Linked DNA regions of Oryctolagus cuniculus. The protein of the gene in region 3 binds, or shares a complex with, the protein of the main gene of each other region. Links are inferred from orthologs where the notes say so. Each region holds a gene or a part of one and is shown on either strand. Other genes may lie near its edges. The genes, in order: protein tyrosine phosphatase type IVA 1, ARL15 and CNNM2.

Region 1 (2,844 bases), on a different chromosome or scaffold from region 3:
TGTCTAAAAATTGTTTTAGCTAAAAAGATGAAGATCTCTACCTTTCAAGATAATTTTCACTAAATTAAAGGGCCTATTTTATATCCCATATAAGATAGAGGTGTTTTACTCTAAATATTTCATAGCTTCCTCCCATTCTGCCTCCCCTCTTAAGTTGTACCCCAAAGGTAAGACTTTTTTGTCTGATGACATTAAACACATGTGTTTCTTGCACAACGAGAATTTTGCATGAACTTTAAACCAGAGGTTAATTTCTCAAAATAAAGTTTTTCCTAACAGGAACTTATAGAAAGACTAAATAATCACCATAAGACTTGATAAGAATCCAACAAAATCACTTGTTGCACAAACCAGTACACTTGTGGGTAGTGAACATAAAGGAACAGACAAATAACCATACAAGCCCTATTATAATGTTTCAAAGGACTTAAAGAATAAATGATGTAAGGTCTAGAGTACTGTTCAAAGTTCCTGGGATTTTAATTCTGTATGATACTAAAAATAAACACATATTGTACTGGGTATCTTGGCATCTAATCTCACTATACTTTTTATATATTGTTTTTTGGCATAGGATAATAAATAGTAAGCAAAACAGAAGTGGCAATTCTGTCAAGCTTGTGGCTTTTCAACATTCCTATGGGAGCTTCATTAGACTTATTCACTAAGATGTTGGCTAATAGATCTGAAAAATTAGATCCAGTCTCAAGTTCCACTTCCAAGGCAATAGCATCAGGCAGCTAAGTTTTATTGAATGCAACAGTTGTTTCTGTGACCACTGGAGTCTTTGAAGCGCAGCCGCATTTTAGAACGGTATTTCTCCAAATACAAAAGTTGTTTGCTGTTAAAAGCTCCACGCCGCTTTTGTCTAATAAACTGCACTGCATCTTCATTTTTCATTCCACTTTCAATTAACGCTAAGGCAACAAGCACTGGGGTTCTCCCAAGACCCGCAACACAGTGGACAGCAATACAACAACCAGGTTCTTCACGGAATTTAATGTTTACAAGACTTAACCAGTCATCAACAATCTGATTGGAAGGAGATGATCCATCATCAAAAGGCCAATCCAGAACCTGGATACCTTCTTTCTCCATGAGGGCGGTGTCGTAAGTTGCTTCACACACTCTCACTATTGTGGTAACTCCGTATTTCTTAAGTTCCTCTATAAACCTGTTTAAGGTTGCAGTGGTTGGGTTGTGTGTAATAAGGAATCTCATGTTCCTGTATGTGACTTCCACAGGAGCCGGGCGGTTCATCGGAGCCATGTTAATTTCGTTTAAAACCACTCAATACGGTCACGAAAAAATTAAAAGCTTTTGAATACAGAAATGATGTCAAGAAACTGAAGTCCACCTCAATACACTCCACTTGAAATTCTCAGCACTTCAGATAGGCAGGTGACAGAAAATGAGATGAATTTCCTGAGAAGCAGCAGCTGTTCTTCGACTCACTAATAATGCCGAGTCGGTGGAAAGCAAGTGCACAGAGGTTTACCCCATTCGGGTCAGAACTCTTGTAAAATGTTCCAATGCTTTCAATTCAACACGTCTGTGTCCAGGTTATTCTCTCTGATGGGGACGTCCTGCTGGAGTAGAGTGACTTTCTCAAGTTCACTTGTCCTCATAAAGGCCGTGCTGTGCCTGGCAGTAATCTCCAGGGCCCTTCAGAAACTCCATAAATGCGTGACCAAAAACCCCACAGAAAGGAATATGTTTACTCATGAAAGATTGTGGCCTACTCATACAGCCAGGCCCGTGGCGGCGACACACGCGGCGGCAGCGGCAAGTCCAGGAGCGGGAGTGGCCGTCACAGGGCGGCGGCAGCGGCGAGACACGAGGCTCCACCGTGGCCAAGCAGCTCGGGCACAGCCTGGCGGGAGCCAATACGCGCGCCAAGGCGCCATTGCGTCACAAGCGCTCCTTTAATAGCCGGCGCGGCGTAGGCACTGCGCCCTCACCAACCGCAGCGGCAGGGCCGCCTGAGAGCCAATGAGCGCGGGCGTGAGGCCCTCCCCGGGGCGATGGTTGCCATGGGTGCCGCTGGTGTGAACTCAAGGCCAAAGGGAGAGGCCATGGAGCCTCAGTCACCGCCTGCCTCTGAGGAGCAGAGACGGCTGAGGAGGGGTACGCGGATGGGGATGGTGGAGGAGGAAGCCTCCAAGAGGCTGAAGGGAACATGGGGGTAGACGGAGACCAGCATAGGGGAAGGAAGGTTCTAGAAGATTCCAAAGCATTGACCCCGACTAGCCTATTGACCCTGCACTTTTACCCATCTCTTTCATGTTTCATAAACAGCACAGTAGCTTTTTTTTTTTCCTGACAACCTTTGTCTTTTAACTTTAAAACTGCGTGCATGATGTTTTGGCCCCTTATTTTTGCTATTTGATTCATATTTCCTTATTTTGTGCTATTTGACTCCTATATCCATACTTTAGGAATCTTTTTACATTTCTTTTGGAGTTAAGTTCCCAACCCCCCATATATTCATGTTTTCCCCTTCCTGTTTTGGAAGTTGTAATTGTGACTGACACCTTTTTTTTTTAGCACTTACTTTAGGTGAGGCACTGTTCTACATTTAAATAGCTTTACTTAAATTTTACAACTGCCCTGTGATTTACATATTAGTATTTCCATTGTCCTGATTTTAAAAATATAGGCTTAGAAGCATTAAATAATTTGCCCAAAATCACCCAACTACTAATTGTCAAGGCTGAGATTTGAATTCTGCATTCTAGCTCTGGAGCCTACCTAATACATATAGTCTATTATACATCCCATTGCTATTCTTTTAGTGATTAAATAGCTTAAGATTCAGCTTCCTTTAACAATTAATGTTGTCAA
Region 2 (4,368 bases), on a different chromosome or scaffold from region 3:
GGGCCCTAACTCCGTGCCAGGACTCAGGTGAGCCACCACACCAGGTGATGTACAGAATTAGTTCTGACCAACAAATTACCGCTATTCCCCTGTATTGAAATCAATAAAAGCCCTGTCTTAAATATCAGGGACTATCCTTGACCCTCACCAGCTATAACCTCTAATTGAGAACATTTCTTAAAAAAAAAAAACAGCAACAGCTAAGATCGGAGAACTGCTGCTTCGGCTTTACCATCTTAATCGGATTGAAAGCCGTTACAAATAGCACCTCTACCTTCCTCTTTCTCTTCCTTTCCTCTCCCCTCCAAATAATAAAGGTTAGGTGGTGACATCCAGTCCAAAGAACAATGACAACAGACACACGCAGCGTGTGCTCGCTCTCTTCCACATTCCAAAAGCAAACCCCAATTTTAAAAAAAGAAGGCACACACAATTATTCCCATCAAGTGCCTGGGAAGAGAGCTTATTCTAGTCTACTATGCAAAATCAGGACTCAAACTTGGAATAAGAGGAATTTTTTCTCCCCAGCAAGGTAAGTAAAAGAATTTGGGGATGGAGTCATTTAAAAAATAAGATCCTGGACACAAGAAATTGTGGTTTTTTTTTTTTTCAGAAGCAGTTTTTAATAAACACCATATAAAGCATATGCAAACAAGTCGATCTGCAAGACAGGGAAAAATGAGGGCCGTGTGGCACATTTCTTCTAAAAGCTGACATGCAGCACCTGAACGGAAGCACCACGGTGGGAGGGCGTTGTTTGTGTTTTTTTTCTTCAGTCCAGTTTCATGCTGAAAGATTTTCTTAATCTTTTCACAGGGAATATCTGGGAAATACACTCATAAGGATTGAACTGGTTTAAAAAATTTTTTTCTCACTTCCAAAGAGTTCTATGAAATTATCTCACTGCACTTGTCTTTACAAGCATGGTTAAAGCAACAAAACAATTTATATATATATATATATATATATATATATATATATATATATAGCAAAGCAAAACTAGAATGTATGTGGATGGGTGGCAGGTAAAACAAAAAGGTGAGGTCAAATGTGGGGCCCATGATGTTGACACAAACAGTAAATTGGCATGGAAACTGATCTGTTTTTGGGTCACCATTGAGCCCACATTCATGCACCCATTTAAACGGTAACCGACCGGTTTTCAACATTGCTTTCACTGAGAGCTTCCTTGGGTTTGGCACCTCAGAGACAGCTGCGTGATAACAATTTGAAAATTTAAAACACATTCGGTAAAACAAAGACAATAACAAAATGACCAGAACCACCTGAGTGCCTTCTTTAGGCACAACTCACTCAGGAATCCAACACTAGCCTTGGGTGGTAGCCAGGCGATGCTTACCCTCTCCCGTTTGCTAATAACCCCCGACCACACTTCAGCTTGAATGTGGGCAGACTGCACGACACAACCGCACACTACACTTTTTAAGACAGGCTACACATTCATCCGTCGTGCAACGTAATAAGTCATCTCTCGGACGCACCAGGCAGCTCAACCCAAGAGCGCCTTGCATTGGAAAGCACGCTGCCAACAAGACAGTCCCCTCACCTGCTTCAGCAGGGAGTAAGCAGAATCCCTGGAAGGCCAGGAGAGAGGAAGTCGCTGCCATCCACATAGCAGCGACAGCACAGAACTTGAACTTGAATGTTGGACGGCGCTCCATTCGCAGGGCGGCACACGAGCTGCCAGGGGCAGCCTCCCTCCTCAAGTGCACGTAGCACAGGGCAGGCGTTTTCTGCAAGCGCAAAACGCGCAGATAATACTGCAAAAACCAGCCCTGCCCAGCGGCTCTCGGCCTCCGCAAAGCTTTCAGCCTAATTCCTAGAAGGCACCGGCCCATCCCGGCCAGGGCCCACCTGCAGCCGTAAGCCAGGTGCCCGCGTCCAGCCGGTGGACAGCGGGGCCAGCTGTCCCTCTCCGCCGGCTTCCGCCCCGCACCGCAAACGCCGCCACGGCGCGGGGCCGAGCACAGCCCGCGCCGGGGAAGAGCCTCGGCACCACGGAAACAGGCGGCGATGGGGAAATCAAGATTTCTGGAACACAACGCGGGGCTTGCATAATTCCACACGCGCGCACTCCCACAAGTCAGTTTTCCGAGCAGCCCCAGCCCCTGAGCTGCCGCTTTTCGCCCCCACGTCAACCTCCCAGCTCGAGCCCGGCCTAAACAAAGTGCAGCCGGGACCCGATCCGCGCGCAGGACGCCGGCCCGACGGCGGTGCAGGCTCGCCCCGGCGCGGGCCGGGAACGTGCCTGCAGAACCCCGCCGCCTCCCGGGTCAGCGCTCTCCCAGTCTAATAGCAACCAAATGAGCGGGGCTGCCAGGCACTTAGAGAGCCATTCTCGGTTATGGCTCTTTAATAGCACCTGGAGTTGTGCTCCGGGGAGAGCGGAAAACTCCTGCTTCCCCGGAAAAGCAAGTCCTCGGCGGGCAGCGCACGGGGAAGCCAGGGAGCCTCCATCGCCGGCACGGGACGCCCCGCAGCCCGGCCCGCATCTCGCCGCGCGACCCCCGCGCAGCCGCCGAGCTGGCCCGGGCCGCACCGTCACCTGTCAGCTCCCGCACCCTGCCGCCCCCCACCCCGAGAGCCCAGGGCACGCCTTCAAGAGCCGGCAGCGGGAGGAAGAACCCCCGAGGCATCCCAGCCCAGAGAAAGAAAGCAAAAAGGCAGTTCCTCCCGGCGGCGGCCGGCGGGGCCAGCCGAGGTCCCAGAGGCGACACACCACCCCATTGCCCGCACCTACCAGATAATCCATGTACAGAAACGCCTCAGTTATCCGGAGATCAGACATCCGGCAGCCTAAAGCATCCGGAACGGCTCCGAACCCGGAAAAAAAAAAAAAAAGGCAGCGTCTCTAGCTGCGAGCGAGCAGCTCCTGAAAAAGCCAGCAACAGCGAAAATAACCGAGAGCAGCCGAGGAGCCGAACCTAACACAAGGGGCGCGGCGATTGGGCGGGCGGGCGGGCGGGCCGAAGGGAAGGAGCGCGCTCATTGGCTGCCGCGCCTATAAAAGGCAGGCCCCTACGGGCGGCCGCGGAGAAGCGCGGGAGAGAGCAGGGCGCAGGTTCCTGTGTGCCCGGCTGAGGGGCGGGAGCGGGGGCGGGCGGCGCAGGCGGAAGAGGGAACTGGGGGAACGGAAAATCGGCGGCTGCCGCGGCTGCCTGCGTTCTGTGGGCTGCCGTGGCCTCCGGGTTGGGGACAACGGAGCGGAGCGCGGTGCTCCAGGGCCCTCGGCGTCCCCGCGCAGCCTCCGGTAGGAAGCGAGGTCTGTGAGGAGGGAGGCGTGGTAGCCCGAGGGCGCTCTCCCTGCGGCTCCGCGGCCTTGAGGCGGCACCACCTGGACGGGACGTGTGTGGAAGGGCGCTCTGAACCGGCTGGCTTGTGGGCGGCTGTGGGGAGCGCAGCCCGCCCGCACCTCGTCCTGTGAACCCGCTCAGGTGGGCAGTTCCCGGCGCGGCATTCCTGAGGGGACACACAAGCCCCGCCGGCAGCCAGCGGACACTCGGGGCCGTCCCCGGGAGAATCACTTTTCTCCACGGGAAAGGAGAAAGCGAGTTGGAGGAGTTGCTGGAGTCAGTTGTGTTTCTCCCCGCAGGAGAGGGGACAGTACCGGCTGATCGGCGCGTTGCACGCGTTGGAGTGCAGTGTCCCTGAGCGCAGATCCAAGGTCCCTGAACAGGATGAGTGAGAGTGAGCCGCGCTCCGAAAAGGCCCGAGTAGTGCTAACAATGTCGTTTTAAAAAGTGGAAATCTCTCTGAGCAGGTAGACTTGAGATCTGTGCGTTTCCTCGTTGTTAACTTGGAAACTAGCATTGAGATTTCAGTATTGGATCAAACCGAAGGTGGGTAAGGAGACTGGAGGCTCCTTTCTTGAAGATTCAGTCTGTGAGTGCCATGCTCGATCAAGACAAGAAGGAGGCAAAAATAAGCCCGCCTTTTTTTTTTTTTTTTTTTTTTTGAATTACTTTTTAACAAGTTTAGTATAGTTCACAGATACAACTCTAAGAGTATAATGATATTCCTATCTTCCCTCCCTCCCCAAGTCCTCCTTTCTTTGCAGTTGGGGATAGAAGGAAGAAGACAGCTAGATTTTTTTTTTTTTAAGATTTTATTTATTTCAGAGGTAGAGCTACAGACAGAGGGAGGAAACAGAGGTCTTCTTTCCGCTGGTTCACTCCTCAGTTGGCTGCAACAGCCAGGGCTGCACTGATCCAAAGCCAGGATCCAGGTGCTTCTTCCTAGTCTCCCACAGGGGTGCAGGGGCCCAAGCACTTAGGCCATCTTGTACTGCTTTCCCAGGCCATAGCAGAGAGCTGGATTGGAAGAGGAGCAGCCAGGACTAGAACCGGC
Region 3 (4,304 bases):
TCCCTGCAGAACACCCCGGAACAGGGAGAGCTGGCTTAGAGACTGACTCCAAGTCAACCTATCAGGTGGCCAAGTGAGAAAAGAACACTTTTAAACTGCAGCCAGTCAAGAAATAAATAAGCTATAATTAACGGAGAAAGAGGCATGCCGTTGTTAAAGGTTCAAGCTGTTTGCCAAAACCACACTTGGTTTGGGATATTTTAGTTGTCAGGTCAATGTAAACAAGGAGGGAAGAAAGAGACAGGAGCCAGAGCCTCACAAAAGGTTAACTAACTCGCCTGCTCCGGTCAGCCCAAGTCACAGGTTAACAGCTCGCTTCAGTTCTCATGAAAACCTCTATCCTAGCTAAGGCAAGCCACATCCCGAATGAATGAATGAATGAATGAATTTTTGTGGCGGTACTTGGCTTAGGTGGTCCTCAGGCCTCAGAGGCAGACCTCAACCTATCCCCACCCCCACCCTCACCCCAGGGTGCCCGACGAGAAACAAGAAGCTATAGAGAATGAATCGCGCCTCTGAACCTTCACTGTGGTCGAGCGAAAGGACGAAGAAGTCTGTCCTAGGTTTAGAAAGCTGTTCCGATATTTCCCAGATGCCTGGGATTTGTTCCTGGCAACCAAATGGCATGGCATCAGCCCAGCCCCACTCAGAACCCAGACAGGGAGTGCGGCAGACCCCTGGAGACCCGAGCCCACCCCGTGCGCCGCGTAGGGGGTGCGGGGTTAGGGTATCACCGTGCACAGGAATCACCAAGCAAGGACGCGCCCGGCCGGCACTCTCGCGCCTTTGCGGACCAGTTCAATCCGTCCCCCCAATCCACGCCACCCTTTCAACTTCGCAACAAAGAGAGAAGGAGAAATTCCGGTCAACTCGCCTTGGGGGGTTGGTGTGAGGGTGGAGGACGCCAGTGTGTGTGTGTGTGTGTGTGTGTGTGTGTGTTTGGGGGTGGAGGTGGGGGGCGGGGATGGAGAGAGAAAGAGGAGCAAGCCAAGGAAAGAGACCAGAATCTCCCACCTTTCTTAAATTCCTCCAGCATAGCGTCCAATTTGGTGTCATTGAAAACAAAGTGCAAGGGGTGGTTATAAAACTTGGTGATGGTTTTCAGCGGAGTGCAGTCGTCCGGATCCACGAAGGCCAGGTCCTTGACGAAGAGCAGGTCCACGATGTTGGAGCGCTCGCCCTCGAACACGGGGATGCGCGTGTAGCCGCTCTCCATGATCTCCGACATGGTGTTGAAGTCCAGGATGGCCTCTCCGGTGATCATGAAGCAGTCGCGCAGCGGGGTCATCACGTCCTCCACCGTCTTGGTGCGCAGCTCCAGCGCGCCCTGGATGATGTTCAGCTCCTCTTTCACCAGGTCGTTGTAGGGGTCGGTGACCCGCAGCATCTCCAGCAGCTTCTCCCGGTTGTACACGGTGCCGATCTCCTGGCCCAGGACGCAGTCCAGCAGCTTGCTGACCGGGTACGAGGCCGGGAAGGTCATCATCATGAAGAACTTGGTGAGGAAGATGGTGTTGGCGCCGACGGCCAGGCCGTGCCGGGAGCAGATGGCCTGGGGCACGATCTCGCCGAAGATGACGATGCCGATGGTGGAGACCACCACGGCCACGAGGCCCGAGCCGGCGATGTCGTCCAGCAGGATGGTGAGCGTGGTGTTGACCAGCACGTTGCCCAGCAGCAGCGAGCACAGCAGGTAGTTGCCCTGCCGGCGCACGGGCTCGATGCGCTTGGCGTAGTTCTTCTCCTTCTCGGTGCCGCAGTTCTGCACGATGCGCAGCTCCATGGGGTCCAGGGCCATGAGCCCCAGGTTGAGGCCGCTGAACATGCCCGACAGGCAGAGCAGCAGCGAGATGAAGATCACCTGCAGCCAGAAGGGCAGCAGGAACTTCTTCTCCTCGCCCACGATCATCTTGGTGTCCTCGCCGTCGTGGTAGATCCAGGTGGTCTCGGCCCAGGGCGGCGGCGGCAGCCCGGCCACCCCCGCGCCGCCCTTGCCGCCGCCCTTGCCGCCCGCCGAGCCCGGGCCGCCGGCGCCCAGCGCGGGCGTGGAGAGCGACGTGCACAGGTAGTAGGACTTGCTCTTCTCCATCTTGCGCAGCGGCTTGATCTCGATCTCGATGATGCCAGACGTGCGGCGGTTGAGGATGATGTGCGGCAGGATGATGATGTCCGAGGTGCGGATGCCGCAGCGCTGGGGGCCGCTGTCCGGCTCCGGCGGCGCGGGGCCGCCCAGCCCGCGCTCGCCGGGGCTGTGGCGCTGCCGCTCGTGCTCGGTGAAGGCGATGCGGGACCACGTCTCGTTGTTGATGTTCTGCCCGTACACCCGCAGCTTGACCCGGGTGCGTTCGCTCACCCGCAGCGCCCCCCCTTCCATGAACGACACGTCGTTCGTGTCCTCCAGCCGCAGCCCGATGATCACGGTCTCCTCGCTCTCGCCGGCCGCGGCGCAGCCGCCCGCGCCGCAGCAGCAGCTCAGCAGCAGCAGCAGCAGCAGCCGCGCCGCCGCCGCCTGCAGGACCCCCCGGTCGCGGGCGCTGGGGCTGCGGCGCGCCGCCATCTTCCAAGTGGGCAGTGCGGCGGCTGCCTGCCCGCCCGCCATCTTTACTTCGGGTTCACAAGCGCCACAGCCAATCATAGGGTGGCTGCTCCAGCTGCGGCCTCATCCTTCTACCCGGCGGCGCGAGCACAGGCACCGGCCCCGGGGCGAGACTGCAGCGGAGCGTCAGCGCCCAGTGCTTATCAGTCCGCCTCCCTGACTGACACTGATTCGGCCGCAGCCAGCGGAGAAACCCCGAGGCTCGCGGGCAGGGGGGGGTGGGGGGCGGGAGTGAGAAGGAGGGGCGGGCTCGCCGCTCCCGCGAGAGGCAGGTCAGCCAGCCAATCACGAGCGGGAGCCCGCCCTCACAGCCAGGGGGCTGGAATGGGGGCGTGGCCGCACGCAGTGCTGTGGGCCAATAGCAAGGTAAGTGGGTGGGGCGAGGAGGGCCACGGTCCTCCTCAGCACGACAAGTTTCCTACTGAAAGGCGCGTGACTCTTGTGTATGTGCGAGGGGAGGAGGCGTGGCCGGCCGGGACGCGAGAACCAGTCAGAGATGAGAACCGTAGGGGAGGGGGCGGGGCCTCCCGCCCGGCTGCCAATGGAAAGGAGCTGTCCGAGGGTCCGGTTCTCCCTGAGGGGGCTCGGTAGTAGATCCCCGCGCCCGGCTGGGCCGGGTGGGGCCAGAGCCCCGCAGCGGGAGGCCGCCCTTTCGGCGGCACAGCCTTGCCGGTTCCGTAGAGCTCTATGCGGGGGCCGCAAAGACTGCACCCTCCGGTCCCGGTACCCCGAGAAGCCGACTAAGCACGGCTTAGGCGCCACATGGCCTAAAAAGAAGACCGGGCACCAGCCATGCCCCCACCCGCCCGCTACTCGTGCGCGCCGCTCTGCGGGAGTCAGCGGCAGCCAGGCGGCCCCGGCACCGAGGCAGAGCGGCTCTCAGACCGCCCGCCGCTTCGCGGAGCAGCGCGCTCTCTGCGGTCACGTGGCGCCACCTGCCGGCGCTGTGGGCGCCCTGCAACACTTTCCAGATGGGCTGCCCACCCCAACAGGTGTGCGGGAATCCAGACTAGGGGCGTTACTTGTTGGTCCTAAGAATTCCCATGTGGTCTTGCTGGAAGGACTGTATACACGTATTCGCTGTATCCCATCCATGTGAAATAGGAAACGCCCAGAACTTGCGTTCCTAACAGGCTATCAGGCAAGTTTGGAAAAGGAGTGGAATTTTTTTTTTTTTTTTTTTTTTTTTTTTTTTGACAGGCAGAGTGGACAGTGAGAGAGAGAGAAAAAGGTCTTCCCTTTGCCGTTGGTTCACCCTCCAATGGCCGCCATGGCTGGCGCGCTGTGGCCCGCCGATCTGAAGGCAGGAGCCAGGTGCTTCTCTGGTCTCCCATGGGGTGCAGGGCCCAAGCACTTGGGCCATCCTCCACGAGGCAGACATCTTAAAAAGGTCCATAAAAGTTCCTGGGTTTCCCGCCCCCAGAGGCAGAGAGGCAGAGAGGGGGCTCCCATCCGCTGGCTCACTCCCCAAGGGCTGGCACGGCCAAGGCTGAGCTAACCCTAGGCCAAAAGCTGAGAACTGAGTGAGAGACCAAAGTACCTGAGCCATAACCTGCTGGCTCCAAGGACGCGCATTAAAAAGAAGATGGGCTGGAAGCAGTGACTGAGACACTTGGACATGGGGTGCAGGCACCCAGACCCCCGAGGTCCTGACCACTAGGCTGAACACCTGCCCCAGGCTCATTTTAAAGCACACTGACCAAACCCT

What was found.
Region 1: the proteins of CNNM2 (region 3) and protein tyrosine phosphatase type IVA 1 are in contact, whole or in part, in a crystal structure (PDB 5MMZ), measured with the Mus musculus proteins. The link is inferred for Oryctolagus cuniculus from reciprocal best matches to the Homo sapiens genes CNNM2 and PTP4A1. Residues at the interface, in NP_291047.2 of Mus musculus: Phe526, Asp528, Val551, Asn553, Glu556, Gly557, Asp558, Pro559, Phe560, Tyr561; in NP_035330.1 of Mus musculus: Asp72, Gly73, Ala74, Gly107, Leu108, Gly109, Arg110, Arg137, Arg138, Gly139, Ala140, Phe141, Asn142, Lys144, Gln145.
Region 2: the proteins of CNNM2 (region 3) and ARL15 are in contact, whole or in part, in a crystal structure (PDB 8F6D), measured with the Homo sapiens proteins. The link is inferred for Oryctolagus cuniculus from reciprocal best matches to the Homo sapiens genes CNNM2 and ARL15. Residues at the interface, in NP_060119.3 of Homo sapiens: Asn490, Val492, Pro521, Leu522, His523, Phe524, Val525, Phe526, Thr529, Glu537, Lys542, Ser543, Gln549; in NP_061960.1 of Homo sapiens: Tyr92, Ser94, Arg95, Gln98, Gln128, His129, Pro130, Gln131, Cys133.

Annotation. Positions count from the first base shown.
Region 1 is NC_091432.1:77,597,458-77,600,301, reverse strand, and holds protein tyrosine phosphatase type IVA 1, read right to left. Parts: upstream 1,414-2,844; 5' UTR 1,270-1,413; coding exon 748-1,269; 3' UTR 611-747; downstream 1-610. UniProt on the Homo sapiens protein: Protein tyrosine phosphatase which stimulates progression from G1 into S phase during mitosis. May play a role in the development and maintenance of differentiating epithelial tissues.
Region 2 is NC_091445.1:75,115,999-75,120,366, forward strand, and holds the start of ARL15 (ADP-ribosylation factor-like protein 15), read right to left. Parts: upstream 2,925-4,368; 5' UTR 2,810-2,924; coding exon 2,762-2,809; intron 1-2,761.
Region 3 is NC_091446.1:27,088,527-27,092,830, forward strand, and holds the start of CNNM2 (metal transporter CNNM2), read right to left. Parts: upstream 2,821-4,304; 5' UTR 2,636-2,820; coding exon 1,015-2,635; intron 1-1,014.